Ovis aries: one gene and its partners. The protein of the gene in region 1 purifies or fractionates together with the protein of each later gene. This does not show direct contact. Links are inferred from orthologs where the notes say so. Each region holds a gene or a part of one and is shown on either strand. Other genes may lie near its edges.

Region 1 (4,414 bases):
TCTTGCCACCTCTTCTTAATATCTTCTGCTTCTGTTAGGTCCATACCATTTCTGTCCTTTATCGGGCCCATCTTTGCATGAAATGTTCTCTTGGTATCTCTAATTTTCTTGAAGAGATCTCTAGTCTTTTCCATTCTATTGTTTTCCTCAATGCAATTTCTTTGCATTGATCATTGAGGAAGGCTTTCTTATCTCTCCTTGCTATTCTTTGGAACTCTGCATTCAGATGCTTATATCCTTTCTTTTCTCTTTTGCTTTTCACTTCTCTTCTTTTCACAGCTATTTGTAAGGCCTCCTCAGACAGTCACTTTGCTTTTTTGCATTTATTTTCCAATGGGGATAATAATACAATGCATAGTAATACAATACATTTTGTAGGCTATTGTGAAGATTAACTGAAATCAGAAAGGTCATCATTGGTGCAACATGTTTTCTGAGATTATATGTGTTTGAATACAAAGAGTTGGGTGGGAAGGAGAGAGAGAAAATAGCTTTTGCTAGGTACCTAGGCACAGTTTTAAGCACTTTCACAAGAACTAACTTTTTTAAACCTCACAATCCAATAGCGGGAAAGCAGGGTGGGTAAAAGCTCAGAATTGAGGCAGACTGCATAGTTTCAAATACTCCCATTTTACAACAAGTATTAAGTAGGGAGGTAGTAGGTACATCGCTGGGAGAGTAAGCAGAGAAATTTGGATTAAAACCAGGCTGACTCTAAGCAGTTTTGTCTTTAGTATGTCCCTTCAGGCAGTTCAAAATTTTTTGGCTGCCAGGGAGAGGTCTTGGATTTACTTATCCCATCACTATTTGAACTTTCCATGACTGATTTTAGTCCCTCCCTGGGAGTGGCTGATCTTTGTAAAAGACAAATCTAACTCCCTACTTGCTGCTGCTGCTAAGTCGCTTCAGTGTCCGACTCTGTGCGACCCCATAGATGGCAGCCCACCAGGCTCCCCTGTCCCTGGGATTCTCCAGGCAAGAGTACTGGAGTGAGTTGCCATTTCCTTCTCCAATGCATGAAAGTGAAAAGTCAAAGTGAAGTCGCTCAGTCGTGTCTGACTCTTCGCGACCCCATGGACTGCAGCCAACCAGGCTCCTCCGTCCATGGGATTTTTCAGGCAAGAGTACTGAAGTGGGGTGCCATTGCCTTACTCCCTACTTAGAATATTTCAATTCTTTTAGCGTTATCACCCAGTTTAATAGTTCTATATCTAATTTACATTATTTTCAAAGGCTACCTAATTTGTCTTTTTTTCCGTTTTTGTCCATGGTTTACTTGGCGGGACCGAGTCTTTAATGTCAGTATTCTCAACCCTCAGCCAGCACTTCGCCTAGCACTCAGTATGCACTCAATAAATGCTTGCTCAAAGTATGAATGAACCAAAGAATCGCGGAACACAGACGCGGAGACGGGTCGGCCTGGGAGTTCCAAAGTTCGGGAGGGGACAAGAGGCGGGCAGTGGCTGTCACATGATAAGGCGGGGCAAATCCCATGTGCTCCGCGGCGCCGGGCGCTGCTCCGCCCTCTGCGCCGGTCACGTGGGGCTGCCGGCTGCGCCTGCGGAGAAGCGGTGGCCGCCGAGCGGGATCCGTGCGGGGAGCCGGAAATGGTTGTGGACTACGTCTGTGCGGCTGCGTGGGGCTCGGCCGCGCGGACTGAAGGAGACTGAAGGTAAAGCCGCCATGTCCGGGCCCGACCCGGCCCCCCCACCCCCTCCCCCCGCATCCGCCGCCATCCGGGCCGGGATCGGCTACCCTGCGCCGCCGCCCCAGCGCCCTGGCCCCGCGGCCCAAGCCCGGGCCCCGGCCCGCCAGGGCCCGATCCCCGGCCCACGTGTGCCCGGCCTGGCTCGGCCTGGCTGCTGGGTGGGGGTGGGGGAGCGCGGGGCCGGAATATGCGGTCCCCGCAGGCCGGGAGGGCGCCGGGTTTCCCGGCCGCTAAGTGCCACCTCGGCCCGACCCGAGGAGGCCTCGCGGGCGCAGGCACCGCGGCTCCCGGCCCGCCGCCCCCTCCCCCCTTTGCGGCCCGGCCGCCGGGAAGTGACACGTTGTTCTTTGGCACTGGCCGGCGCTGCGCAGGGAGGGCGCAGGGGAGGGAGGCGGCGGCGGCGGGCAGGGAGGAGCCCCCGGCCCCGCCCGCCCTCCGGGCCGACCCTCACTTGCTTCAGACCGGCTCTTCTTCGGCCGCCGCCCGCCTGGCCTTTTACGGCCCGACTGCCGCCTTTCCTGGCCTCCACTGCCGGGCGGCGGCAGGCCTCGCCTCTGGCCCCGCGTGGGTGCCTCCGCTGCTACCCACGGCAGGCGTGCCTCGTGTGCCCCTGGGCCAGGCCCCGAACCCGGTGTCCCCGGGTGGGGGGTGGGGACACCACGGCCGAAGCTGCTAGCTCCGTTTGTGATCCGGGAGCCTGGTGCCAGCGAGACCTGGAATTTCCGGTCTGGTTGGTCTTGGGCCCCGCGGAGCCAGGTTGATACCCCTCACCTCCCAACCCCAGGCCCTCGGATGCCCAGAACCTGTAGGCCGCACCGTGGATTTGTTCTTAACCGAGGGGGTGAGTGAAGGGCTGTTTCAGCAGATCGAGGGGTGGTTGGAGGTGGTGAGGGTTTGACGGAGTGTTGGTGGGGACATAAGCTGGGTCTTTAATGTTCCTTTACCCCCTTGGCGCCTCCCGGGCTCATTGTGGGACCCAGCCCTTGCTTCAACCCCTCCCCCACTCCATTTGCCTTAAGTTTGTGTCCCTTTCCTTTTCTGAGCCTCACTCTTTCCCAACAGGTGCTGGGGGGACCCTGATGTGGCACCAAATGAAATGAACAAAGCTCCACAGCCCACAGGCCCCCCACCTGCCCCATCCCCTGGACTCCCACAGGTAATTAGGGAGGAATTAACAGGGACTGGGGTGGGGGTTGGGGAGACCAGGCAGCCGGGTCAGGAACAGGTTCCAACCTCTGGATTTTCCCACCCCCTTCTGTGTCAGGGCAAAGTGCAGCTTCCTGCTGCCAAATTGAGACAGGGCCCCCAGGCTGTTCCCAGGGGCTGTCTTGGGGAGGGTATATGTGGACTGTTGAGGCTCTTGCCACGGATCTGCTCCCCTTCATCAGCTTGAGTTTCTGCACCACCTGGGTTTCCCCTCTTGCTGAAATCTGGTCTCCCCCCTTCAGCCAGCGTTTCCCCCGGGGCAGACAGCACCGGTGGTGTTCAGTACGCCTCAAGCGACACAAATGAACACGCCTTCTCAGCCCCGCCAGGTGAGGGGCTGTGGGGAGGGGAGTAGGGGGCCTGGGTGGGAGCCATGTAAAGCTTAGGCCAGTTTGGGCCTAGGATGGAAACTCTGGAGGCCCTGTACCTGCCCCAGTTTCCTGACAGTTGCTATGTGTTCTTTCATGCGGCTCTGCACTTTGCACTGTTGATTACTCACGGTGGCTGGCCCCTCGGAGAGTATGTTGTTGGTGGGGATGGCATTGCTAGGGGTTCTGGTGCCTTGAGAACTGGGGGCAGCGCTTTGGGCCCTGCTGCCAACTCCTGCTTTCCTATTTCCTCCTTTTACTAGGAGGTCGCCATTGCTCCGTTCCTCATCCCTTCTTTCTCTTTGGACTGTGGGAAGAGAAACATTCCAGCTGGTTCTTACCTTTCTCTATTCCTAAATTCTTCCTCACTAAATGGGAGCGGATTCTTGTCCTGCCTCCTCATTTTTTTCCCCCTCATCACCTTGGGGATAATTCTCTTCTTTCCTGTCCCCATGTGCTCTCAGGGAGGATTCAGGTCTCTGCAGGTAATACCCCTTTGCTAATCCTGGACTCTCTCCTGGTCTCACCCTTACCCTCCTCCCTAGTCAGGGGCTAGACGCAGGGACTGGGGTTCCTCAGGGTGGGGACTTGTTGGTTGTCCAGGTCCTCAGTCTGAGGCTGACCAGTGCATGTTAGGGGCTAAATCTTGCATAGTGCCTATCTGGGAACTGGGAAAGTTGCATGTTAGCGGTTAGCTCCTCAGGACGTTAGGATGGTGCAGTGCATGCTGGGGAGTATGCTGCTGAAAAAGGCTTTACTTAGGCATGATGCATCTGGGTGTTAGGAAGCCTCTGCTAAAGGATAGCGTGGAGGAGGTGACATGAGTATGCATGGCAGGGAGGGAGTAAATATACCGAGTGCAAAGTGTGTACCTGAGTTTGGAGGGCACACGTGAGTTCAAGAGGCCACTTAACCATCAGTTGGTCAAGTGAGTCTTGGCAGTGTTGGTCCCATGTTCCAAAGCCCCTGGTACTTCTCTCCAGACTAGAGACATAGTGGAATGGCCATTTTGCTGTCCACTTCCTCCCCTGCCCAGTGCCAACTGCCTTCCTCCCTCCTGACAGCACTTCTACCCTAGCCGGGCCCAGCCCCCGAGCAGTGCAGCCTCCCGAGTGCAGAGTGCAGCCCCTGC
Region 2 (2,724 bases), on another chromosome or scaffold:
TTGCTGCTGCTGCTGTTATTCAGTCACTGAGTTGTGTCCATGTCTTTGCAGCCCTATGGGCTGCAGCATGCCAGGGTCCTCTGTCCTCCACTATCTTCCAGAGTTTGCTCAGATTCATGTCCATGGAGTCAGTGAGGCTGTCTAACCATCTCATATTCTGCTTCTGGCAAATAGTAGCCATTCAGTGTTTTTTGGAAGAAGGACTAAATGGAACTGCTCTACTGTTACATGATGATTAATTAATAGGTGTCACCATAAGTGTGTGTTTTCCTAGGTGGACTAGCAGCGTTTATGAAACCTGCACACTTGGGCCAGATTGGGCTTGGTAGTGGGAGTAAATGTTGATTCAGGGGATACTAAGGCAGACCCCACCTGACCTCCCCCTCCTTCATGGGATGAGAAAGAGTCCAGAATTCTGGCTGAGCCTGGGGTGCTGGGAATGGAGCTGGTCAGAGCCTCCCTCTTCTGTCCGCAGTCTGGGGAGGTACTGGTGAATGTTAAGGAGCACTCCCGGCAGATCAATGACATCCAGTTATCCAGGGATATGACCATGTTCGTCACTGCATCCAAGGACAACACTGCCAAGGTGAGCCTGGGCAAGGAGTCTGGCAGGCCTGCTCCTACCCTCCCGCAGGGCTCTCATCTTCCCCCAAGAAGACTCCTTTTAGAGACATCTCCTCTGCCTTCTCTCTAGCTCTTCGACTCCACAACCCTTGAACACCAGAAGACTTTCCGGACAGAACGACCTGTCAACTCAGCTGCCCTCTCTCCCAACTACGATCATGTGAGGAAACCCAGACAAGCTTCTTGCTAAAGACTCCTTGTTTCCAGGATCTAGCTGTTTGTCTAGCAATTAAGAAAAGAGCTTTGGGGGAAAATAGTGTCAGGCAGAGAGGAGATCTCAGAGCAGGAACAAAGGTGAATGATGGGGAAGCTCTGGGGGCAGGGCAGGAGGTGGCTGAGGGATGTTTGTTCCTTACCCTTAATATCTTCCCAGTCTGATGTAGGAGATACTAAAGGCTTTTAGGGTTGGGGGAAGAAATGGAAAATGGACTTGCCTGCTCTTTGGACCCATCTAGAGTTTCTTCCCTTCAGGTGGTGCTGGGCGGTGGTCAGGAAGCCATGGATGTAACTACCACCTCCACCAGGATTGGCAAGTTCGAGGCCAGGTAAAGGGGGAAGGAGAGCTTCCAAACAGAAACATCATGAGGTGTCTCTCACAATGGCCAGAAACCGGATAACCAAGGAAACTTTCCTTAATTCACTGGCTGTTGGGAGTGCAGCCAGACTGGGGGCCCTCCTGTGACAAGTGTCTGATACAGTAGTTAAGAGCATGAACTCTTGGGCTCACTCTGAAGCCCTGCACATCATTGGAGTTGTCTATGCCCAATCACCCTTGACTGTATAATGGGCACAGTGATACTATACTTACCTCATAACAGTATGCAGATTAAATAAGTTAATAGTTGTGACGCTTTTAAGAGCACTGCCCAGCACATAGCAAGGAAGACATTTGGGTCCAGTCTTCTCCCAACTTCATCTTGTTTTGTTCTCATTCATTTCCCCCTTATCCCAGTTTCCCTGCTTTATAGTTTTGTTTGGGGAATGGTTCCCGTTGACGTGTTTTCGTAGGAGATGGGGACTGAATGAACTGTTGCTTCCCACCCTGCTCTTTCCTCTAGGTTCTTCCACTTGGCCTTTGAAGAAGAGTTTGGAAGAGTCAAGGGTCACTTCGGACCTATCAACAGTGTTGCCTTCCATCCTGATGGCAAGAGGTAGGGCCTGGTGAAGGGGGCTGAGCCAGCCCTGGTTTGCCCACCTCTGCTCCTTTCCCACGTCCTGTCCCCCAGGCCTGCTTCCCAAAGGGCAGGCCTCTGACTGGGCCCTGGCTGTCTCTTTGCAGCTACAGCAGCGGTGGCGAAGATGGTTACGTCCGCATCCACTACTTCGACCCACAGTACTTTGAATTTGAGTTTGAAGCTTAATAAGCCAGACCTGGGAATTCCCTGGCGCTTCCTCTACAGGGGGCACGGGTGATCTGCAATCACCACGCAGCCGCACACACACCCAAGGAAGCCGGACCTCCATCTGAGCCAGGGTCACAGGAGCTTTTGGACTCTATGAAATAAACTAGTTTGGAAATAAATGGTTTCTGGTCAGATATTTGATTGTTTTCCCTTCTCAGTGACACCCCAACCAGCTGATACCAATCATGGATGCCTTTATTATTTGGACCTTCCGCCTATACTTTGGACACTTCACATGTGGATCCAGGCTGGGTTGTAGGCACTCTCTTCCAAGATCCAGAGGTGCTGAGGGGCCTGGAGAGCTTCCAGGAACATCTCAAACACCATCTAAGGACCAGTACTTAGGGTCCAGCCTCAGAGGCTGAATCTGTTGGCTGAGAGCCTTCTGTCTTCTCCTGATCCGTCACTATTTGCCACACTTTCTCCCACGCTACCTCTGAAGGCTCAGGTGGACGGGTCCCGCGCAGAAACAGGCCTGAGGAGGAAGAGGACAGGTAAGGAAGCTGAGCAGAGGCGAGAACTCCGCCAGGGAGGAGGAGGAGGGTCACCTTGCCACAGTCGCAGGCTCTGGGGCTCCGCCGAGGGCCAGATAGCCAGGGGGTTGGGGACGTAGAGTGGGTTCCGGAGCTTTCGTTGCTCTTTTGGCTGACTGAGCCCAGACCACAGGGAGTGTGTTCGAGTTCTCACTTCACACAGG
Region 3 (3,622 bases), on another chromosome or scaffold:
GAAGTCCAAAAATCTTCTAACCCTGTCCTTGGCAAAAAAAGTCCTGAAGTGTTTGCCTGCAACGTGTGACTGGCTTCATCTAACAACAAACACTTTCAAGTTTATACAATAAAATTAGAGTATTTAGCAAACATTTTACAGTACTTGAATCCTACTGATTTTAAAACATATTTTTTTCATGTTCTCTTAGAAACATTTCCATGTCCAAATATTAAATTTAAAAATCAAGTGAAAATTACATATACATTACTCAGTTAACTTGGTTTTCTAATCCAAAATTAACCTAATAGTCTGAAAGTACTGAATATACATACGATTTAGATATATATACGAATGGATGTAACATGTGTACACACTTATATACAACTCATATACATATTATATAATCATGCAGATAATCACACATATAAATAAAATTATATGTATATGAATAATACAAATATAGAATAGATGATTTGACCAATATATGAGTATGCTACAAACATGAGGTCAAAAGAGTCTGCAAGTCTTCTAAGTACATATCACAAAAAGTATCACCCTCATACCTGGTCATCATCGTAGTTGGGATCTCTCACATCTACCTCCTCCACATCATACACCTGTCCAGGAGTGCCCCAGACACCTTTGCCTCCAGCACCACCTGAAAAAGTTTAGAATTGAGAAAGGAAACAGCATAATGTCCACAGTTCATAAATTTTAATTGAAATCTGAAATAGTTCTAGATGTTCAGGTGTTAATTAAGGAGCAGTTAAAAAACTGTATTTTAATTTTTATGCCAGTTTTTTTTTGCCAGTTGAGAATTATACGGTAAACTTTTTATTCAGATCACTGCTTTTCCAGTAATGATTAGATATATTTATAACCTAGTTCCAAAAAACCAAGTTGAAACAGCTCACAAAGTTAAAACTAAAAAGTCAGATGCTTTAAAATAAAAGTAAAAAACAAAACAAACAAACAAACAGAAAAATAGCTGTAACGGTAACTTCAAGGCAGCTGATAACAACTGGGCTCTGAATTCTGACATTTCTTGGGAACAACAAAAAGAAATACACTGATTCAGTTAAGAGATGACATAGAAAACAACAGAGAAATTATTCAGCAAAGAAGTATGGTGACCACCATCAAATGTTTTAAAGTCAAATTCTCTTTAGATATTCATGTGCGTGTGCTCAGTCGTGTCCGACTGCAACCCTCTAAGCCCACCAGTAACAAATACTTTACAGCCAGAAATATATTACAAATAACTGATTTCTATATAAGCATTAACCGAATTAATCATTTCTATTTTTCTACCAACAAATAGATCAGCAGAAGTTTAACAATTCCAACTTTCAAAGTTGCTTTACTAAATAAATGTCTTGAAATGTTTTTATAAGGCTCAATATGTTGCAATATTTTAAAAGAACTTTATCACCCATGGCGGGGAGCATTATTTACACATTGAGTATAATTCTTACCACCAGAGCAAAAACAAATCTGGTAGTTAGGTTTCATTCTGATCCAGCCCATGGTTGCAGAGTCATTCAATGACAACTTTTGACAAGGTACAAAAACTTTACAAGAATCCTAGGCCATAATTTGATGCTTCCACCATTTAGATGCAAGTGAAATCTCCAAACTGCATCAAAATTCTACCACAGACAGCGGCTAACAAGACCCTTCAAGTCAACAATCATGTAAGTACCTACCCTTGGAGTCACTACTCCAGGCCCTGGAGATACAGCAGTAAAACAATATCAGTACCCAAAATAAACAGAACTAAAAAGAACTTAGAAACAGATCTACAAAATTATTAAAATTCTGACCCTGATATTAAGAGTCAAATCGTATTTATCACGTATTCTTAACAAGACATAATTAATTAGATTCATTAGATAATAGGTATGATGAATTTCTGACCCTACTTCAAGCAGAATTAGAGAATACATGCACAAGTCATAACTGTGAAAATGATTTTGCTGGAAATATGAGACAAAGTTCTGCTTAAGATAGCTAAACCTAAACAAACAAGCAAAAAGGCTCAATTTAAAGAGTGGGGTGATCCTTGAATTATTACTATGTAAAAATACATACAAACCATAAAGCCTTACATTATCATTGCTTAAATTCCTCTCATTCTTAGAACAATAAATTGCAGTACAAGAATCAGAAAGCATCTCTTCCTTTTATTTCTTTGTATAAGATATATACCAACCTTTCTTTGGTAATCCTCGTCCTTTCCCAGATCTAGATCGCCTATCCAGCAACCTTCCCTTTGGACTGGTTGGTGCAGTTACTCCACATCTAAGGCCTTCACTTCCATTATCACTGACGGAATCACCTCTGCCGGAGTCCCGGGATGAGTTTTTCCGCAGCCGCCTTTTCGCCCTAGCATTAATCCTAGCTTCATTAATGGAAGACGCCGAAATCCAATTTCCATTTATCTCATTCTTTATTTCCTCAGTCCCAGCATTTTCTTCATCACCAGAAAAGAGAGAGTCACTTAAATTATCTGGATCTTAAAAACAAAACGAAGGAAAAAAAGAAATCTAAGTAAGCATTTTAACTATTGCTATACCAGCTATAGTCATAAGTTAGATTAGGTTGAATCATATGAAATTATCATTTTTATATGTAGCAGTCACATATTGGCAATTTCATAGGCTCAATCTAATAAATGACAATTAACCAACAGTTAGAACCAGACATGGAAAATGGACTGGCTCAAAATTGGAGGAGGAGTACATCAAAGGTGTATATTGTCACCCTACTTATTTAACATTATGCGAAATGCCAGGCACGAGCTGGAATCAAGACTGCCGGGAGAAATATCAATAACCTCAGATATGCAGATGATGCCACCCTTACGGCAAAAAGCAAGAGGAACTAAAGAGCTGGCTTAAAACTCAACATTCAAAAAAACTAATTTCATGGCATCCAGTCTCATCACTTCATGGCAAATACATGGGAAACAATGGAAACAGTGACACACTTTATCTTCTTGGGTTCCAAAATCACTGTGGACACCGACTACAGCCATAAAATTAAAAGATACTTGCTCCTTCGAAGAAAAGCTTCTTGACAAACCAAGGCAGTGTATTAAAAAGCAGAGACATTGCTGACAAAGGTCCATCTAGTCAAAGCTATGGCTTTTCCAGTGGTCATGTATGGATGTGAGAGTTGGACCATAAGGAAAGCTGAGTGCCGAAGAACTGATGCTTTTGAACTGTGGTGTTGGAGAAGACTCTTGAGAGCCCTTGGACAACAAGCAGGTCAAACCAGTCAATCCTAAAGGAGATCAGTCCTAAATATTCTTGGAAGGACTAGATGCTGAAGCTGAAGCTCCAATACTCTAGCCACCTGATGAGAAGAGCCTACTCACTGGAAAAGACCCTGATGCTGAGGAAGACTGAAGGCAGGAGGAGAAGGGGACAACAGAGGACGAGATGGTTAGATGGCATCACCGACTTGATGGACATGAGTTTGAGTAAACTCCGGGAATTGGTGATGCAAAGGGAAGCCTGGCGGGCTGCAGTCCATCGGGGCTGCAGAGTTGGACACAACTGACTGACTGAGCTGAACTGAACTGAAACAGGATTATTCTTCACAGTATCATGGAAAGTAAACGAAGGCACTGAATGTT
Region 4 (3,622 bases), on another chromosome or scaffold:
TTCAAGGTACTATGAGGACATGAAGTCAAATGAGATAACATTTTACCAAAGTTAAAAGTGATCAATAAAATGAATGAAAGGAATTTAAAAAACAATCACATTTACAATAGCATCAAAAAGAATAATATACTTAGGAACAATGCAGCAAAACACTTATATGCTGGAAATTACAAAACATTGCTGAAAGACAAAACAAAAGGAAAGGACATCCATCTCGTATTCCTGAACTGGAAGATTGAATACCGTTACACTGTCCATAACACCCAATGTGATCTACAGGTTCAATGCAATCCCTAGCAAAGTACCAATGAAATTTCTTTCTTTTTTTCTTTTTCTTGCAGAAATAGGAAAAAAATCTATCTAAATTCTTATGGAATATCAAAGGACCCTAAATAGCCAAAATAATGTTGAGAAAGAAAACCAAAGTTGGAGACCTCACACTTCTTGATTCCAAAACATACTATAAAAGCAACAATAATCAAAAGAGTACAGCACTAGCATGTAATTCCTAGAAGAAAATATATGGAAGAAACTTCGTAATACTGGAACCTTCATAACACTGGTCTTGGCAATGATTTCTTGGAGATTACACCATAAGCACAGGAAACAAAAGCAAAAATAGACAAGCTGGATTGTATTAAAGCTTCTGTGCAACAAAAGAAACACCAAAAGTGTGAAAGATAATACCTGCAAACTATATATACAAAAAGGAGTAAATATGAAGAATATATAAAGAACTCCTTCAACAAAGCCCTAAGAAATTAGCAAAAGACTTGAGAAGACATTTCACCTTCTAAAGAAGACATAAAAGCAGCCAACAAGCATATGAAGAGGTGCTCAATCACCAATATTAGGAAAATGTACATCAAAGCCACAATGAGAGACTGCCTCACACCTGTCGGAATGGCCATCATCAACAAGACAACAAGTAAGTGCTGACAAGAATGTGAGAATTCGGACAACCTAATTTTCAACTAGATTTTTTTAAAAATCCTTTAGGATGCTGACCTTGGCCTTTGGTAGGATCTTACTATTGGCCTTCGCTAACAAAGCAATTACCCCTGCAGCACAAAGATTCTGAAATGCTCAAGGAGTATCTTCTTTCTCAAGTAGACAACTCATCTCTTCTTAAACAGTAAGTCAAAAAACTACGGAAGGAAATGGTTGTGGGACATAGCAACGATTTCTGTCCTTCACACTGTAATTGGTAAGCTGCTTTCACAATGAGAAAGTTAACATCAGCACAGCTCCTACCCAAATTATCAGAATCACAAATCCCGAATAACTAAAAGCCAAACTAATCAAGTTTTGATAATACAACTTCATTTCAGAGAATCTGTAGAATCTTTTTCAAGAGATGGAGAACTAGGTTACTCTGATGAACTCCCGGTAACAATTATCAAAGGTTACGGCGAACACTGGATCAATAACCATTTGTGTGAATACCCTTACCTTCATCAAAGTCAGCATCATCTTCAGTGTGCTGAGGGAAAGGAAAGCAGTTGGTAATCTCAAGTCGATCTTCTACAACAAGGCCCAAAAGCACTCCTTGAACCACCTCAGTTCCTTGTCCTTCTTCCTGGTAATGTTTGATAATCTTTAATACCACCTAAAAGAAAAAAATAAAAGTTTAAATATCACTCTTACAGTTTACACTTCCTTTATTTCAAAGAAAAACTAAAACTATACTGATGAACCCATAGTTATATGACAGAACTGACCAAATTTCTTACAAACCATTTCCTTTACCCTTACATAAAAAAAAAAAAAAAATCTTACATAGTCTAAATGTACACCTGAAACTCTTGGAATCTGAAGACTTGTCAGAAATGTCCATGTGGGCTTCCCTGGTGGTTCAGTGGTGAAGAATCTGCCTGCCAATGCAGGAGATCCAGGTTCAATCCCTGATCCAGAAAGATCCCACATGCCATGGAGCAACTAGGCTGGAGAGCCACAGCTACTGAAGCCTGAGTGCCCTAAAGCCTGTACCCTGCGACAAAAGGAGCCACTGCAATGAGACGCCCCCCACAGCACCAGAGAGCAACCCCCACTCACCGCAACCAGAGCAAAGTCCGAGCAGCAACAAAGACCCAGCACAGCCAAAAATAGATTAAAAATAAGTAAATAAAATTATATTCTAAAAAGTGTCCATGTAGAACACTCACAACCTTTAAGTCAAAGATGCTTAAAGGTCTGGCATCCAAGAATTCCTTCAGTTGAATCTAACATTACCACTTCAACCTGAGACTATTACAGAGAAAGTGACCCTGCTAACCTTTGTTAACAGCAATATCCTGCCACAAATGATAAAAATATCAGTAAGACACAGAGATAAAGATCTCAATTATCTGAACATCTAAAAACAGAACCCTCTGACAAACTCTCAACACCTCAAGATGGTTCCTGCACAGAGCATCTCATTAATCAGAGGAAGCAACAACAGGAACACGTATCCAAGAACTTGCTTGGTAACAGAGAACATAATGACAGCCCAGTCACCAACACTACCTAATTTTTCTCAACAATAAGGATATACCAAATAACCTCTAATGGAATAGCCAGCTCTTCTATTTACTCTCTCCTTTAATATTGCCATTAAAATGAAGAGGTACACTGCATGACTGAATAGGCAATTAATTTAAAAGTTCACAGTAACAGTCATGATTAATAATAATTCCTACAACATGAGACTGTTAATATATTAATGGGCTTTGAACAGTGCTTGGCACATAGTATTATTAACAGAAGCAGTCTGTATTATTCAGTACAAGGACGTGGCCCAAAGACTAAAGGGCAATATAGTCTAAAATACAATGGAAAGCTATCAGAGGGAAAAATAAGTCTAAGAACAAAATGGGAATTAGAGTTTTACTGATTAGTGTTTAATTTAAAACAAGTATATTATTGATAGAAATAAATCATCAGTAACCAGTTAATAATACAGGTTACAATTATTGAACATCATGTGCCAGGCAGTATTCTAATTATTATACTGGTATTATCAATCATGGAATCCTCATAAGTACCTCAGGAAAAAGCATTATATTATACTCATTTTACAAATAAGAAAGCTGAAGCAGAGAAAAGTTGAGTAAATGGCTAAAGATCATACATCCAGGAAATGGCAGAACCAAGATTTAAACTCCAAAGCTTATGGGCATATTTTAACAAGAAGATTATTCTCATATCAGCAGCTTAATTATTAAAACCATGAGTTAGGAACAGACATGAAGCAAAGACTCTGTGATGAATGGATTCAGAAAGACTTTACACCAGTTTAAGATCCAGACCTTCAAGAACAGCAAGCAGTCAGCAGGGAAGAGCTTACTGCAGGACACCAACTAGACCGGCAGACCTTCAACACTGTGAAGTGGAGAACGTGCATAAACCGCACACATTTCTGTATAAAAGATCTCTCCATTTCTTGAAAGGCACAAAAACAGGCTCTAGGGGTCATGCAGGAAGAGGAAGAATGGTTTCCAGCTCTAGCATTTATTAGCTGTGACCTTGGGAAAGCTATTTAATCTTCCCAAGTCCTAGATTTCTGACTTGCAAAATGGAACCATTTCACAGCATTACTTAAGACTATTAAAAATGAGAAAAATGTACAGTTAATATTTCA
Region 5 (4,187 bases), about 180 Mb from region 1:
GACCCCTGCAGCAGGGAGGGATTTGGCCCATGCAGTTTCCTGGGTCACTCATAGGCCAAGCTCCTGGGACTTCCAGGGTAATCACCTCATTTTCCCGTGAGTGCTTGTGCTCTTGGGAAATGCAGGGACCCAGGTACCCACTGGAATTTAGCCACATGAACTGTGATCCTGACCCCAGACCAAGCACTAAGCCTGAGAGTAGGCTAAGCACTCAGCTTTGGCTCCAGGCTGAACTCTGACCTGGCCTTGACCTTGGTCAATTTGAGTCCTGAATGCTAACCCAGACTAAGCCTTAAAAAGAGCCACAAAGGCCTTGACACAAACACACCTTGACCTCAGAGCTCACACTGGAGTATTTTCCTTTCTCACATCTCGAGTAATACTGGGTCAGGTTTGGGGAAAGGAGGGTGGGAACAAGGTGACAACTGGGTGTAACCAAAGGCACATGTGGGTTGTCACGTCAGACAACAAGTCAAGCTAGTGGAGAAGTTTGAAACAAGGATTCCTCTCTGTGCACATAACACACAGCCAGAAGGGCAGAAGTCAAGTAAAATGAGAGGAGTTTGGAGAGTAGGGGCAGGTCTCCCCACAGGATCTTGTCTTGAAAAAATCCTCTAAGATGTGGCAGGTCATCCATCTGCTACCCCTCAACTTCTCACCCAAATAAGTCCTCAGTGTGGGACCCAAGCTTCCTGACCCTAGATATTTCCATACTTCACATATGCCCCTGCATCTAAATTCTGCTTGGGGAACTTTTTCCTGTGGGTTCCTTGGGGAACCCATCCAGTGGTTAGGACTCTGCGCTTTCAATGCAAGGGGCGTGGGTTTGATCTCTGGTCAGGGAACTACGATCTTACACATTATGTGACATGGCCAAGAAAATTTTTTTAAAAAGAAAAAAAAAAAGAAATTCACCTTATTCTTAGGGCAGGAGCTTCCAAAATCACACTACAATTAGTTGGGTCCCTGGGCTCTCCACCTTTGCACATCCCCCCTCACTGACAGCTACCAACAAACCTACTCTCGCATTCAACATCTCATCCTAGCTTTCTTGCCCCACTTCCCTAGAGCCACCACTCTGGGCTTCTTCCTGATCCACGAACAGCTCCCCAACTCCTGCTTCTGTATGTTTTCTTACACTGGTCCCTGGGCTTAACTCCCGCCCTCAAGTTGAACACTGCCTCCTCCCATAGCCTCCTCTACTGCACCCTGATCTCTTTGTCCTTGGGTGGAGACTACTCTTTGGTCATTTTGTCCTCCACCGGCTTCACCTCCCAGTCTAGGTCAGGCCTGGTACATACTGGATGCTCAGGCTTTGTGGAAAGCTCAAAAGCAAGAATCATTGAGTTGAAATAGCCCTGAGAAATCAACTGGCCCAACTCACTTCTTGAATGGATGAGGAAACTGAGGCCCCATAAGAGGACTTTAGGAGCCTGGGTTCACACAGCAAGTCACAAGCAGGGGATCTCCAGTGGCACAATGGGACACTGGGATAAGGTGGGGCATGACAACTGGTCAAGGGCCATTTTCCTGCCCTAGCTGCGTGCCGCTGGTCTGGTAGAGATAAGGAGAAAGGAGGGGAGTGAAGGAAAAGGGGAGCATCTTCCCATCCACTAGACCAACTTAATTGCTGTTCCCCCGACACACTGTGCCTCCCCCACACTCCACAGCAACTTGGGTGTCCTAACCAGGGAGCTAGGGTCCCACCTTCTTGCTGCAGAATGTCAATGCCTGGGTCTTTCCCGGGGGAAATGAAAGCTTGTGAGGGAGGGGACATGGATAGACGCCCTTGTATCCAGGCCACTTGTCTGTTTTCACTTCCCACTCTCATCCCTTTCAGTTCAGTTCAGTTCAGTCGCTCAGTCGTGTCCGACTCTTTGCGACCCCCTGAATCGCAATAGCCAGGCCTCCCTGTCCATCACCAACTCCCGGAGTTCACTCAGACTCGTGTCCATCGAGTCAGTGAGTCTCTTATCTCACAGAATCTCTGTCCCCTCCCTGGAACCACGGCTATTCCCCCTCTTGGGCCCCGTTTCCTAACTCTGGATGTCCTTTCATTCCTAGAGTGGCCAGTGATGGCTCACTCCCTGGGTGGGCATCTGGGTTTCCCAAATAAAGGCCACAGAGGAGCCCTGCCTGCTTCTGACACTCAGCCCCTGCCAGGGCCACACCTGCCGCTCCTCCAGTCCTGACCCAGGATCCTGGCCCCAGTTGGAAACCAGAATCCAGCCTAGAGTAGAGCGATGTGTATTAGCGAGGTGGGGGTGGGCGGGAGCGCTGAGAGCAGAAATCCAAGAGAAAAGTCGAGGCGAGGACTCCGAGCTCCTCCCCGTGGCGCTCGGCCACCCACGACCACTCCTCAGCCTCTCCCAGAACACCTGACGCCGCCATCTCCCCAGCCCAGCTGCCGGGACAGATGGGTAGTAGGACCCAGAAGAGCAGGCCTGAAATTTCCGCCTGCGAAGACACGCCCTCTTCAACCGACGCGCCCCCACCCCACCCTGACTTTCCAGCTCCGAGTCCCGGACCCCGGAACCAGGGCTGTGGGCAGCCTGCTCCGGGCGCAGGTCGTCTGGGGATGGTGCCAGGCCGGGACAGCCGAAGAAATGAAAGTGGAAGAGAGGCTGGGCTGTGTGCGCGGCGGGGCGCCGGGGGATCTCACTCACGGGGTCCGCCGGGTGGGTTAGCGCGAGTCCTCTCTGGTCGCGGAGTCACATCCCCAGCGCGTGGTCCTCTCCTCCCGCCGGTTCCCGGCCGTGCAGGTCTCGGGTGTCCGCCTGCCTGCCCCGCCGAACCCGCTGTCGCCCTCCGCCCCCAAGGCGACGCCAGCTCCGCCCAGGCCCTCCCGGCCCCGCCACGCTGCGGCCAAGGGGCGGGGAAGGGGCGGGGAGAGAGGACCCCCCCTCCCAATACCTTCGCCTTTCCGGAAAGTCCATATCGCTCCCCCAGCTTCCCAGGACCAAAGGACGAAGAGCTGGTTCTCTTAGGGTCAAGGAGGCAGCCTCAGTTTCCTTGACTGTAAAATGGGGACAAACCCATTTTATCTAGCTCTGTCTGGAGATGGATAATGGTGGTTTCCTTGCCCTCCTGGAATCTTCTGTGTTTCCCTTGTCGCTGAGCTCAATTAGAGGTCAGATCTGCCATCCACTCCCATACCCTCAGCTCCTGGCAGAGTGCCTGGCACACAGCAGGCACTTAATACCCATTTGCTGAATGAATGAACGAACGCCTTGGGAACCATTACCTCAGCACTCAAAGGACTGGCTCCCAAGAGTGCTCAGATCAGACTTTCACCTCACCCACCAGCTCTGGGGCTTTGGCTCAGGCTGGGCAGATACTCCTCACTCCTGGGCCAAGTCATCCCATTCCCACCCTTTGCCCCCACCCACCCACATTTTTGTTCCAGCTATTCCCACTTTGGAACATCTTTTTTCCTTCCTTTCTTCTAATCAGATCCAAACCCCTCAAGAGTTGTTTTGCATCCCCTACTTTTCCACCTGGGTTCTTTTCCCTGCAGAAGCACAGAATGCACTCTGTGGGTCCCAGGCCCAGGGACCAGTAGGCAGGCTCTTCCCTGGGAGGGAGGGAGGGTGGGGGACTTCTGCAGTAGGAGGGCCAAGGCAGACAGATGGGCTGCAGAAATTACTCTGGAGGGGTGCTGGAGGGGAGCAAGTGGGGAGAGGGGCAGGAGGCATTTACATGGCACAGATACCCCACTGGGCTCCTCTTGTGTCTGGAATGTCTGCTTGCTGGATGGCATAAGAACACACTGGATTCTTAAAAATGAACTAAAGATTCTTTTTTTTTGGTTGGATACCTATTTTTGCCCCAGTCTAAAGCTGCCACTCTCTTTTTTCCCCAATATCTGAGTCTCAACTCTGCCCAGATCCTCTATAAGCGAACATTTGCATGTTCTAGTGTATGGAGAAGGAATTCAAACCTAGTCCTTCATTTGTTTGATATCATGATTAATACCCTTTACTGAATGTGACTTTGTGCACTGAGGACGGGGAGATCAGGTGATGGAGCTGACCCAGTGGTGACCTTAGGTACTGACGGGTCAGCCCGGGGTGCGGTGGGAGACCAACACACAGAGATAACACAAGGTCAGAGCTCAGCCATCCAGATGTGAGAACTTGGTTACGGACTGACAGTGAGTGAGCACTTGGTAAGCGTGGCGTTACCAG
Region 6 (4,317 bases), on another chromosome or scaffold:
TTTCACCTTCTGAATCTGGGTATCTTACTCCCAGAGTAACAAACATATGGTACAGGAAGGGGTATGAAGATAGGTAATACATGAACTGCATATAATAGCAACCAGTGAAACCGTTTTTAACTATAGGAGTCAGCACTCTATGAAAACCACCATTGGACACTATCTTACCATAAAAAATAATCAAACAAGATGCCACATATAATGGCATTCTGAAGTGTTATGCAAATAAAAGGCCTTGTGTGCACACAGGTACACTGTTAACAATCCCAAGGCAGTCTAGTCTCACAAACCACTAACCCATGTCAAACACATTTGATCCCCTATAGGTAAGGACACAGATGCAATAGTTAGCTTTGGGACACCTCCAGTTCTTGAAGTTCAGTAATTAGTCACACTGGATACTGTATTATTGCAAAGAATTTTTTGGTTTCATTTAAAAGTAAAAGGGAGTGGATATATGTACAGTTATAGCTGTTTCACCTGTGTACAGCAGAAACCAACGCAACATTGTAAAGCAATTTTCCTCTAATTAAAAAAAAAAGTAAAAGGCCTGTTAAGTTTTATCATGTTTCTTCACAAAGAAAATATAAGATGTTTTTTCAGGGGCCATCAAGAAGTATATTGAAAATAGATTAATTTTATAGACCCATTAACACAGTGGGCCTGTATTAATATAATTATATACCAAATCAATACAATGGGAAAAGATCCAAAGTGGGGAAAGAAATTTGATAATTTCTCAAGGGCTGTCAGATGTACCATTGTACCCCAGCATAAGTGTCCCTTATATGTATTACACAAGCTAAAAGATTCATGTAACTGTATTAAAGGAGATGAGGGCTTCCAATTGGGTAGAGTGGAAGAAGAGACCTCACTAAGCACATCTGTTTTACTAGTCTGGACTTTATTTACACAATGCTATCGGCGTCTTTCACCTCTAAAAAAATTCCACACAAGTTATACAGAAAAGGAAAACAGGCTTTTCACTAATTATGACACTGAGACACCAGGACGGCAAATTCAGGCCAAAATACTTCAGATGAAGCTCCTGGGCAGCATCCCAAACTTATGATGATAAACCAACCTTGTTAGTCCCAAGTTGATAATGGGAGAAGAACGAGAAGTTTCAAAGATTGCAACCTTACTCTGCCATCTGCAGATAGTGACCTTGAACGAGTAATTTTCATATTCCTCACACAGGAGATAACCAACATCTGCCTATCTCACAGAACATCAAATTAGACCACACACAGAAAAGTGCCAGGTCAATTGTCAAGTGCTACGCTAGTGAAAGGTATTATGCTCAACTGCACGTTAATTTCCTCAATATTTTCCAAAGGCATACATCTCTATGTAAGAGAGAAGAGAAATTCTTGGTGAGAAATCAGTGTTCAGAGATAAGTCGTTCAACAAATGTTTTGTACAATGTAGGCTCACACCAGGGAAAAGAGATCATATCCCCCATTCTAAAATCACTGTTGACAAAATGTTGGCACAACTCTCTACTAAGTCCATCAGAAGTGCAGGCAGACTTACATGAAAGTGATATTTCCTCTCATTCTAAACAAGAATTCAACTCCAGCCACTAGTATTCTTCTAAAAGCAACTCCTAGCAGTTGTGCAGTTACCCTAAAAGAAAAAGGCCCTACCCTACTGCTGCGGCTATCAAAACTCAACCAAAACGGAAGCTGTCAAGGGCTCTGATCTTGGTCACCACTGGATCCCCAATATCCAGAAGCATGCCTGACAAATATACAGTTCACACTCAAGTAAAACTGTGTTGACTGAGTAAGAAAAAGTCCAGAAGAAATCTAGGTCTCCACCCTGTTTCCTCTCCTCCAACACGTGGGCGCATCACACCGGATTCCCTACCCCCGTCTTAACTCTAGCAGCGCCAACCTCCAAACCTAATACATTTACCCTTGGAAGAACATAGGGGCCGGATCACACTCTAGAAGGGGAAGAGCAAAAAGTGGAAGGACCTAAAGAGAAAGCAACACAGGCGAGTAAAACCTTCCCATCTGGACTCTCGCGCGTGCTTTTCAGGCGCGCCAGTCTCCAGTACCCTAGGCTCTCCGACCGCGCACGCGCACCGCCACCTTCCTCCGCCCCTCCAGCGACTCGCGCTCGGGTTCTAACTGCCCCCCCTTTATTCCCTGCCCCCACTCCCGTCCGCAACGGCCTCGCGCCTTGGAGACCTAGTTCAGAGTGCACCCGTCCGCGCGCCAACCGCCTCCTTCCTTCCTCCACGCTTTCACGCGGGCACACTGCTTCACGTCTATGAGAAGGCCTACATCTCCCGCTGATCTTTCTGCGCCTCCTCCTCACTCCAACTCAAGCCAGAGTCTACCATTACTCCCCAGTCCAACCTCGCGCAGATGGGGTGAAAAGGGTGTGAGGGGGGAGGGGAAGGTCCTTCCCCTCCCCCCAAACATCCCGAGGCAATAACCTAACATGGCCCAGCCGCCAGCCTGCCGCAGCCCCAAAATCCGAAGGGAAGAGGTGCCGCCCACCCCCCGACTCCGAAGAATCAGTGGATCAGGCTCGGAGAGTCGCTTCGGAGCCTGGTCCTTGGCCGCACTCGGCCGCTCACTCACCTGAGGCCGCCATGTTGGGAGAGGGAGAGAGAACGCAAAGGACCCGGATGAGGCAGTCACGTGATTAGAGCGAGCGCGTCGGGCTAGGAGACGCGAAACTGGGAGGGGTCGGGGAATTAAGGAGGGACACAGGAGGCGGGGCGGCGCTCCTCTAGGTTCGTAAAGCAGCGCGAGGAGGTGACGCGGCATCCGACGGGAAGACCTGCGCGACATGTGGCCAAAGGGGTGGGGCCTGCGCTGTCGCGAAACCCCTCACGCTTTACGTAGGGCGACGCGCGGACAAGGGGCAGGTCTCAGCCTGGGGCGGGGTCTCCTGAGCCGCAGACTTCCTGCCTGTGCGGTAAACGGAAGGGGTGGTGCGGCGTTGTCAAGTTCCACCTCTCTGGCACCGATTGGAGGCGGGCTGGAATCCAGAATTGGCGTGCCCCAATTGGTTTCCTGGGAAGATTCTGAGTTTCTTTGTAAATCGCTTTTTGTTAAAGCAAAATAAACCACCATTCTGCTTAAGGATGGTTTTAATTGGGGATGTTTAGAAGGAAAAGAAGGTAACATTCATCACTTACTTGCCATGGTCTTTTACTAAAAGTCTTTTAATCCTTCGTTTTGCAAACTAAATTCAAACTCAGGCCCTTAGGATTTCACCGTCTAATGCTATCTGCGCTTCCTCTTGTTGCCAGGTTGTCCTTGAGACCCGGTGGACTGTAGCCCGCCAGTCTCCTCTGTCCATGGAATTTCCCAGGCAAGAATATTGGAGTAGGTTGACATTTCCTTCTCCAAGGGATCTTCCCCATCCAGGGATGGAATCCACGTCTCCTGCATGGGAAGAACGATCTTTTACCAATAAGCCACCAGGGAAACCCCATAGGTAGTAGTTCATTCAATGAAAATTTGCTTTGCACTCCTACCACGTGTCAGGCGCTTTTATTGGCATTTTGGGTATAACTGGAGAATAAAACTCCAAAGCATGTTATATAATTCAGTGAGGGAAAGACAGACAATAAGCAGTAATTAAATGAAATATTAGAAATGTTAAGCACTCTAGAGGTAATTAAGGTAATTTGATAAAACTGATTTTGTGCAACTTAAATTGCATGGTCAGGGAAGGCCTCTGAGGAAGCGACATGTGAACTGAGATCTGAGTTACAGAGAGCCAACCCCCTGAGGAACTAGATCAAATGCTCCAGGACAGGAACATGTTGGCAAGTTTGAGTCTCAGTTTGGTGACCGGAAGGGGGGTGGGCGGTAAAAGATGAGGTTTGAGAAATATGTTGGGGTTCAATCATGTGAGGCTCTGTGAATCAGGTTTAGGAGTTTGGATTTTATTCCAAGTGGACTGGGAAAGCGTGGAAAGATTTTATGCAGGGGAGTGTGAGGACTTGAAATAGTTTTGTAAAGGGTTACTTACTATCTTGATATGGGTGATGGTTACATAAGTGTATATTTAAGTACCTCAGATTGTACACTCAAGAATTGTGCGCTTAGTGTATAGAGGTCATACTTTAAACAACAGTGATGACAACAACAGGATTACTCAGTTTACTGGATGGAGAGTGGGTTATACACCTGCACTGATGGAAAAGAAAGATCAGTTAAAAGGTTCTTGGTGCCAGGACCTCATAATGTCTTCATGGACCCTAAGCACTTTTGCCTTCATAGGCCCTTTTCTCCTTTTAAACAGTGTTAACATTATTTGCTGCACTGGGTCTTCCTTGCAGCCTGT
Region 7 (4,337 bases), on another chromosome or scaffold:
AGCTCCTTCTGCATGGGCCCCAACGTGTCCTTGTAGGGGCAGCGGGTGGTCCAGTGGTCACCCTTGCAGATTCGGCAGGACACTATCTTCTGGCCCTTGAGCTTGTTCATTGGGTCCTCCTCTTCCTGGCAGTTCAGATCCTGGCAGGGCAGGTGGTGGCAGTTCAGACGGTAGTTCAGCTGCTCCCCTGCTGCCTCCAGTAACACCCTGGCCACTGGCTCCCCCTGCCAGCCACCACACTTACCTCTTTGCTGGTGATGAATGTCATGGATACATCATCGCTGACTGTGGTGGTGGCTACGTTGGGCCCCGGTGGGTCAAATTCTGAGTTCCCAAACTTCTTCCAGTTCTGAGCTCAAGGCAGGATGGGGGACAGGTCAGGGCAAGGACAAGTGGGACCCCCTCCATTTGCACCCTAGACTTAACAAGAGCCACCTTGAGGGTGAGTGAGTCTTGAACCCTATTCACCGCCCTCAAATGCTCCTTGGAGAAGCGATGATGACAGTTGCTATTCCCTGAGGGCATGCCAGGCCCCAGCTCCATGCCAGCTCCAAGAGTAGGGGCAGCTCTCAGCCTCATGTTACAGATGAGAAAACTGAGGCTCAGGGGTAAACAGGTCCAGAGCCAACAACCCCTGGCAGGGGCTGACCAGCTTCCACCGAGTGATACTCAGGGGTGTGCAGGATCACCCAGATTTCCAGGGGCCTTGAGCTCCTTAAACAACCTGTACCTTGGCATCCTCCCCTATAAGGGACCACAATGCTCCCCACACCTCCCTGGAATGCTAGGGGAATGAATGAGAAAATACTTCCCACGAAGCACCTGAGTCTAACACCGAGTATGTAGGTAACTGTGCAAAACGTATTTACTGCCATCACTTCTGCTGCTACGACCACCTCACAGGAGGGCTTTGGCTCTGTTCCTCCCAGGCGACAAGCCGAGAGAAGTAAGAACCAACCCCTCCGCTCCCACTCCTGCACCTGCTGGACTTTTCAGGGCCCCCACGGACTGCACACAGGCCTCAGTTCTGCTCCAACAGAAGAGGTACACCCAGGGGACTTCCCCGGTGGCCCAGTGGTTAAGACTCCGCACTCTCAATGCACAAGGTGTGGTTTCAAGCCTTGCTCGGGGAACTAAGATCCCACATGCTGTGTGGTGCAACCAAACAATTAGAAAGAAACAAAAAAGCATCAGTCTCTCAATCATGTCTAACTTTTTGCGACCCTATGGACTATAGCCCACCAGGCTCCTCTGTCCATGGAATTCTCCAGGCAAGAACACTGGAGTGGGTAATCATCCCCTTCTCCAGGGTACCGTCCTGACCCAGGGATGAACCAGCATCTCCTGCATTGCAGGAAGATTCTTTACCACTGAGCCACCAGGGAAGCCACCAGGAAATTGTTTAACAAACAGTTAAACCCCACTTCTAAAAATGAAGGCAATAGGGAAAAGAACTCCTATTTTTTCTTTGAGTCAGCCCTGGAGGAGCCCCCAAGGAAGGGGGAGAAGGGTCTTACCTTCCTCCTTGCCACAGCCTTTGAGGCCTTCCGGGTCTCAATTCTGAAGGTGCGGACGATCTGTGGATAGGAGGGGAAACGTTTGGGCCTTCTGCTCCTCAAGGTTCCTAGCAGATCTTCCTCATCAAGACATCCAACACACCACTCTCTCCCTAGTCCAAGTGCCCCTCAAGCAAAGGGCTCCCACCTCTTCCCCAGCCTCACCTTGAACTTCTTGCCATCCTCATCTATCTTATACTCCGTCACTGTTTTGATGTTTCCATTGATGACCTCCTTGGGAGGTGGCAGTGGAGCTGGGAGAGAGGAAGAGACAAAGGAACTGAGCCCTGGGTAATAGGGACCAGAAGGAAGGAGGCTGGGGAGAGAGACGGCCCAGGGCTGGAGTGAAGTCGGGCACTCACCTCCCGGCAATAGCTCAGGCTCTGGACTGGTATCCCCAGTGGCCAGGGGGATCCCCTTGAGGAGCTCGCTGGTGACACATTTGTCTGTGACAGGGAGTGGAGGGAGCAGGGGTCAGCTGGGGGGTAGGGGTGGGCAGCGACAGGAACTCCCAAGCTGAAATCAAGGGACCTTTGGGATGATGCCTGCACCAGGAGCTGAGAAAGGTGGGACCAAGGGCAGAGGACTGGCCAGGAAGTGTCTTGGGATAGCCATTCAGGGACACGGAGCTGGCCGGTAGTAACTTCCAGCAATGAGAAGGGGAAGGGGATCCTTGGCCTGAGGGCCTGAGGGCCTGAGGGCCTGAGGGAAGGGGAGGGCCACAGGCATCCGGGCAATAGTATTAATACAAAGGCAGGAGTGTGGCTGTTAAACAATTTCCTGCCAGGAGCAGGGAAGCAGAAGTGCTGGCATCAAGGACTTGGGCGGTGGCACGGCAGAAGATGGGCTGGCTGGTGAACGTATGGAGTTGGAGATAGGCTGGCCCAGATGAGAGTGGCGCGGGGCAGGGGCTGGCTGTGAGGGGAGATGCAGGGTCTGACGGCGGTGCCAGGGTGGAGGATCAGAGCAGGCAGCAGTGACGGCCTGGGGCGGCGGGGGGAGGCCGGGCTGCGGTGATCCGAGGCGACAAGGTAGACTCACCGTCCTCTCCTTCCTCTTCCACCTGGTCCGCCCAACTGGGCTTCGAACTGCGGGGACAAGTTTGTCAAAAGGAGGGATGAGTGAGGCGAGGCCCAGCTCCCGCGGCCTCAACGCACCCAGGCTCTATATTAACTCCTAGGACCGCCCCCCATCCCCGGTCTGCTTACCAAACCCCCTCCACGACCCCTGACTCACTCAAAGTCTCCGGTCGGCATCGCAAAATCTCCACGCAGCCCAAGCCTGGGCCAAAGACCGGAAGTAAGAGGTGAAAGAGACTTCCGGCTCCGCTGCCTAGAGCAGCCGTAGCACTCCACAGCGCCCCCTACGGACGGAGGTAGAAGCGCCGCCTATGTGAGAGGCTGGGCCCTGGTATCTTACTATTAGAGGCTCGGCTCATTTACCTGAAAATCTTATTTATTTATTTATTTATTTGGCTGCGCTGGGTCTTAGTTGCGGCATGTAGGATCTAGTTCCTGGACCAGGAGGGCCTGCATTGGGATCACTGAATCTTAACCACCGGACCTTTTCTTTTACTTTTTTTAAAAATTAAAAATAATGACAATAAAGCTCAATTATATAGCTCTGACTGTTTGCAGGAACTGTGAGGAGGAAATTATCGTTTCCATTTTTCAGCTGAAGAAACCAAAACTGGTCTTCCTTGCCTGGAAATAACTTTTCTGATTCAAATGATCAAGATATCAAGTCACCCCCTAACTATTCTCCCTCCTTGAGTAACTCCCCCCCCCGCACTGTGAGGCTTGCAGAATCTTAATTCCCTAACCAGGTATCAGAACTGGGCGCTGCAGTGGAAGTGCAGAGTCTTAACCACTGGACCACCGGGGAATTCCTAGTAACATTCTTGGCTCCCTGATATAATCTTTTCCATTTTCTTTAATTTATTGCTTATTGTCCAGCGTTCCCTCTACTGTATGCATTCTCAGTGGGAGTGATATGACTCCCAAGGGGACCAAAATTAATTGTTCTGTGGCAAAAAAGAAACAAACAAAAAAAAAACCAACTTGGAGATGACAATGACTTGTGGCCTCCAAAGCCAACCCTCCCAGACAAAATCTTATTTCTAAACATTTAATTTCTATTGTTAGGGAGAAATTAAATGTAATTAGATTAACACTGATTTAAATGGAAGATAATTCCATTTTTCTCCTTTAGAGGGATGATAATGAAAAAAATGGTAAAAACTGCTGCAGACTTCTGCAGAAACACATTTGCCTGCTTTGTTCACTTCTGGGTCCCCAGCACCCTCAGGGTGTCTACACTTGATAAGTGCTCAATTCATGGGTATTTGGAACCGACAGGAACCAGATTATAAAGGACTTTAAAAACTAGACTAAAGATCATAGTCTCTTATATATATATTACATATATATACATGTATATATATATAACATATATAACATTTTTAAAAATATTTATTTTTATTTATTTGGCTGCATAGAGTCTTAGTTGTGGCACGTGGGAACTAGTTCCCTGACCAAGGATCAAACCCAGCCACCCTGTATCTTGAGCACAGAGTTTTAGCCACTGGACCACCAGGGAATTCCCAGCACAGGCTCTTTATCCTGCAGGCTGTGGGGTGTGAGTGAGGCGCTGACATGTTCTGAATGGTGACCCAATGTGACCAGATTTTCTTGTGAGAAAGATTATTCTGGAAGCCTGTAGAGGATAGGGTGGAAAGGAATAAATCAGCAGACCAGGAAGGAGGCTGGGAAAATAAGTAAA

Evidence for each region.
Region 2: the proteins of EIF4G1 (region 1) and EIF3I purify together in Homo sapiens (affinity purification with mass spectrometry; 5 studies listed by BioGRID and IntAct, counting the BioPlex papers as one, with this or other methods). This does not show direct contact. The link is inferred for Ovis aries from reciprocal best matches to the Homo sapiens genes EIF4G1 and EIF3I.
Region 3: the proteins of EIF4G1 (region 1) and PDCD4 purify together in Homo sapiens (affinity purification with western blotting; 3 studies listed by BioGRID and IntAct, with this or other methods). This does not show direct contact. The link is inferred for Ovis aries from reciprocal best matches to the Homo sapiens genes EIF4G1 and PDCD4.
Region 4: the proteins of EIF4G1 (region 1) and EIF3H purify together in Homo sapiens (affinity purification with mass spectrometry; 4 studies listed by BioGRID). This does not show direct contact. The link is inferred for Ovis aries from reciprocal best matches to the Homo sapiens genes EIF4G1 and EIF3H.
Region 5: the proteins of EIF4G1 (region 1) and MKNK1 purify together in Homo sapiens (affinity purification with western blotting; 3 studies listed by BioGRID and IntAct, with this or other methods). This does not show direct contact. The link is inferred for Ovis aries from reciprocal best matches to the Homo sapiens genes EIF4G1 and MKNK1.
Region 6: the proteins of EIF4G1 (region 1) and EIF4B fractionate together in Homo sapiens (co-fractionation; 4 studies listed by BioGRID, with this or other methods). This does not show direct contact. The link is inferred for Ovis aries from reciprocal best matches to the Homo sapiens genes EIF4G1 and EIF4B.
Region 7: the proteins of EIF4G1 (region 1) and EIF3G purify together in Homo sapiens (affinity purification with mass spectrometry; 3 studies listed by BioGRID, with this or other methods). This does not show direct contact. The link is inferred for Ovis aries from reciprocal best matches to the Homo sapiens genes EIF4G1 and EIF3G.

What each region holds. Positions count from the first base shown.
Region 1 is NC_056054.1:203,656,384-203,660,797, reverse strand, and holds the start of EIF4G1 (eukaryotic translation initiation factor 4 gamma 1), read left to right. Parts: upstream 1-1,603; 5' UTR 1,604-1,672; intron 1,673-2,492; 5' UTR 2,493-2,549; intron 2,550-2,770; 5' UTR 2,771-2,804; coding exon 2,805-2,864; intron 2,865-3,156; coding exon 3,157-3,243; intron 3,244-4,346; coding exon 4,347-4,414.
Region 2 is NC_056055.1:235,303,122-235,305,845, reverse strand, and holds the end of EIF3I (eukaryotic translation initiation factor 3 subunit I), read left to right. Parts: intron 1-475; coding exon 476-586; intron 587-694; coding exon 695-784; intron 785-1,095; coding exon 1,096-1,169; intron 1,170-1,682; coding exon 1,683-1,775; intron 1,776-1,903; coding exon 1,904-1,985; 3' UTR 1,986-2,146; downstream 2,147-2,724. Other genes in the region: myotubularin-related protein 9-like, read right to left, coding at 2,369-2,502, 2,576-2,724. UniProt on the Homo sapiens protein: Component of the eukaryotic translation initiation factor 3 (eIF-3) complex, which is required for several steps in the initiation of protein synthesis.
Region 3 is NC_056075.1:30,964,591-30,968,212, reverse strand, and holds part of PDCD4 (programmed cell death protein 4), read right to left. Parts: intron 2,498-3,622; coding exon 2,195-2,497; intron 641-2,194; coding exon 546-640; intron 1-545. UniProt on the Homo sapiens protein: Inhibits translation initiation and cap-dependent translation. May excert its function by hindering the interaction between EIF4A1 and EIF4G. Inhibits the helicase activity of EIF4A. Modulates the activation of JUN kinase.
Region 4 is NC_056062.1:60,694,497-60,698,118, reverse strand, and holds part of EIF3H (eukaryotic translation initiation factor 3 subunit H), read right to left. Parts: intron 1,610-3,622; coding exon 1,453-1,609; intron 1-1,452.
Region 5 is NC_056054.1:21,167,995-21,172,181, forward strand, and holds the start of MKNK1 (MAP kinase-interacting serine/threonine-protein kinase 1), read right to left. Parts: upstream 2,834-4,187; 5' UTR 2,667-2,833; intron 1-2,666. UniProt on the Homo sapiens protein: May play a role in the response to environmental stress and cytokines. Appears to regulate translation by phosphorylating EIF4E, thus increasing the affinity of this protein for the 7-methylguanosine-containing mRNA cap.
Region 6 is NC_056056.1:133,421,491-133,425,807, forward strand, and holds the start of EIF4B (eukaryotic translation initiation factor 4B), read right to left. Parts: upstream 2,813-4,317; 5' UTR 2,611-2,812; coding exon 2,598-2,610; intron 1-2,597. UniProt on the Homo sapiens protein: Required for the binding of mRNA to ribosomes. Functions in close association with EIF4-F and EIF4-A. Binds near the 5'-terminal cap of mRNA in presence of EIF-4F and ATP.
Region 7 is NC_056058.1:12,527,582-12,531,918, forward strand, and holds the start of EIF3G (eukaryotic translation initiation factor 3 subunit G), read right to left. Parts: upstream 2,863-4,337; 5' UTR 2,813-2,862; coding exon 2,793-2,812; intron 2,645-2,792; coding exon 2,598-2,644; intron 2,003-2,597; coding exon 1,919-2,002; intron 1,811-1,918; coding exon 1,722-1,810; intron 1,578-1,721; coding exon 1,518-1,577; intron 350-1,517; coding exon 245-349; intron 141-244; coding exon 1-140. UniProt on the Homo sapiens protein: RNA-binding component of the eukaryotic translation initiation factor 3 (eIF-3) complex, which is required for several steps in the initiation of protein synthesis.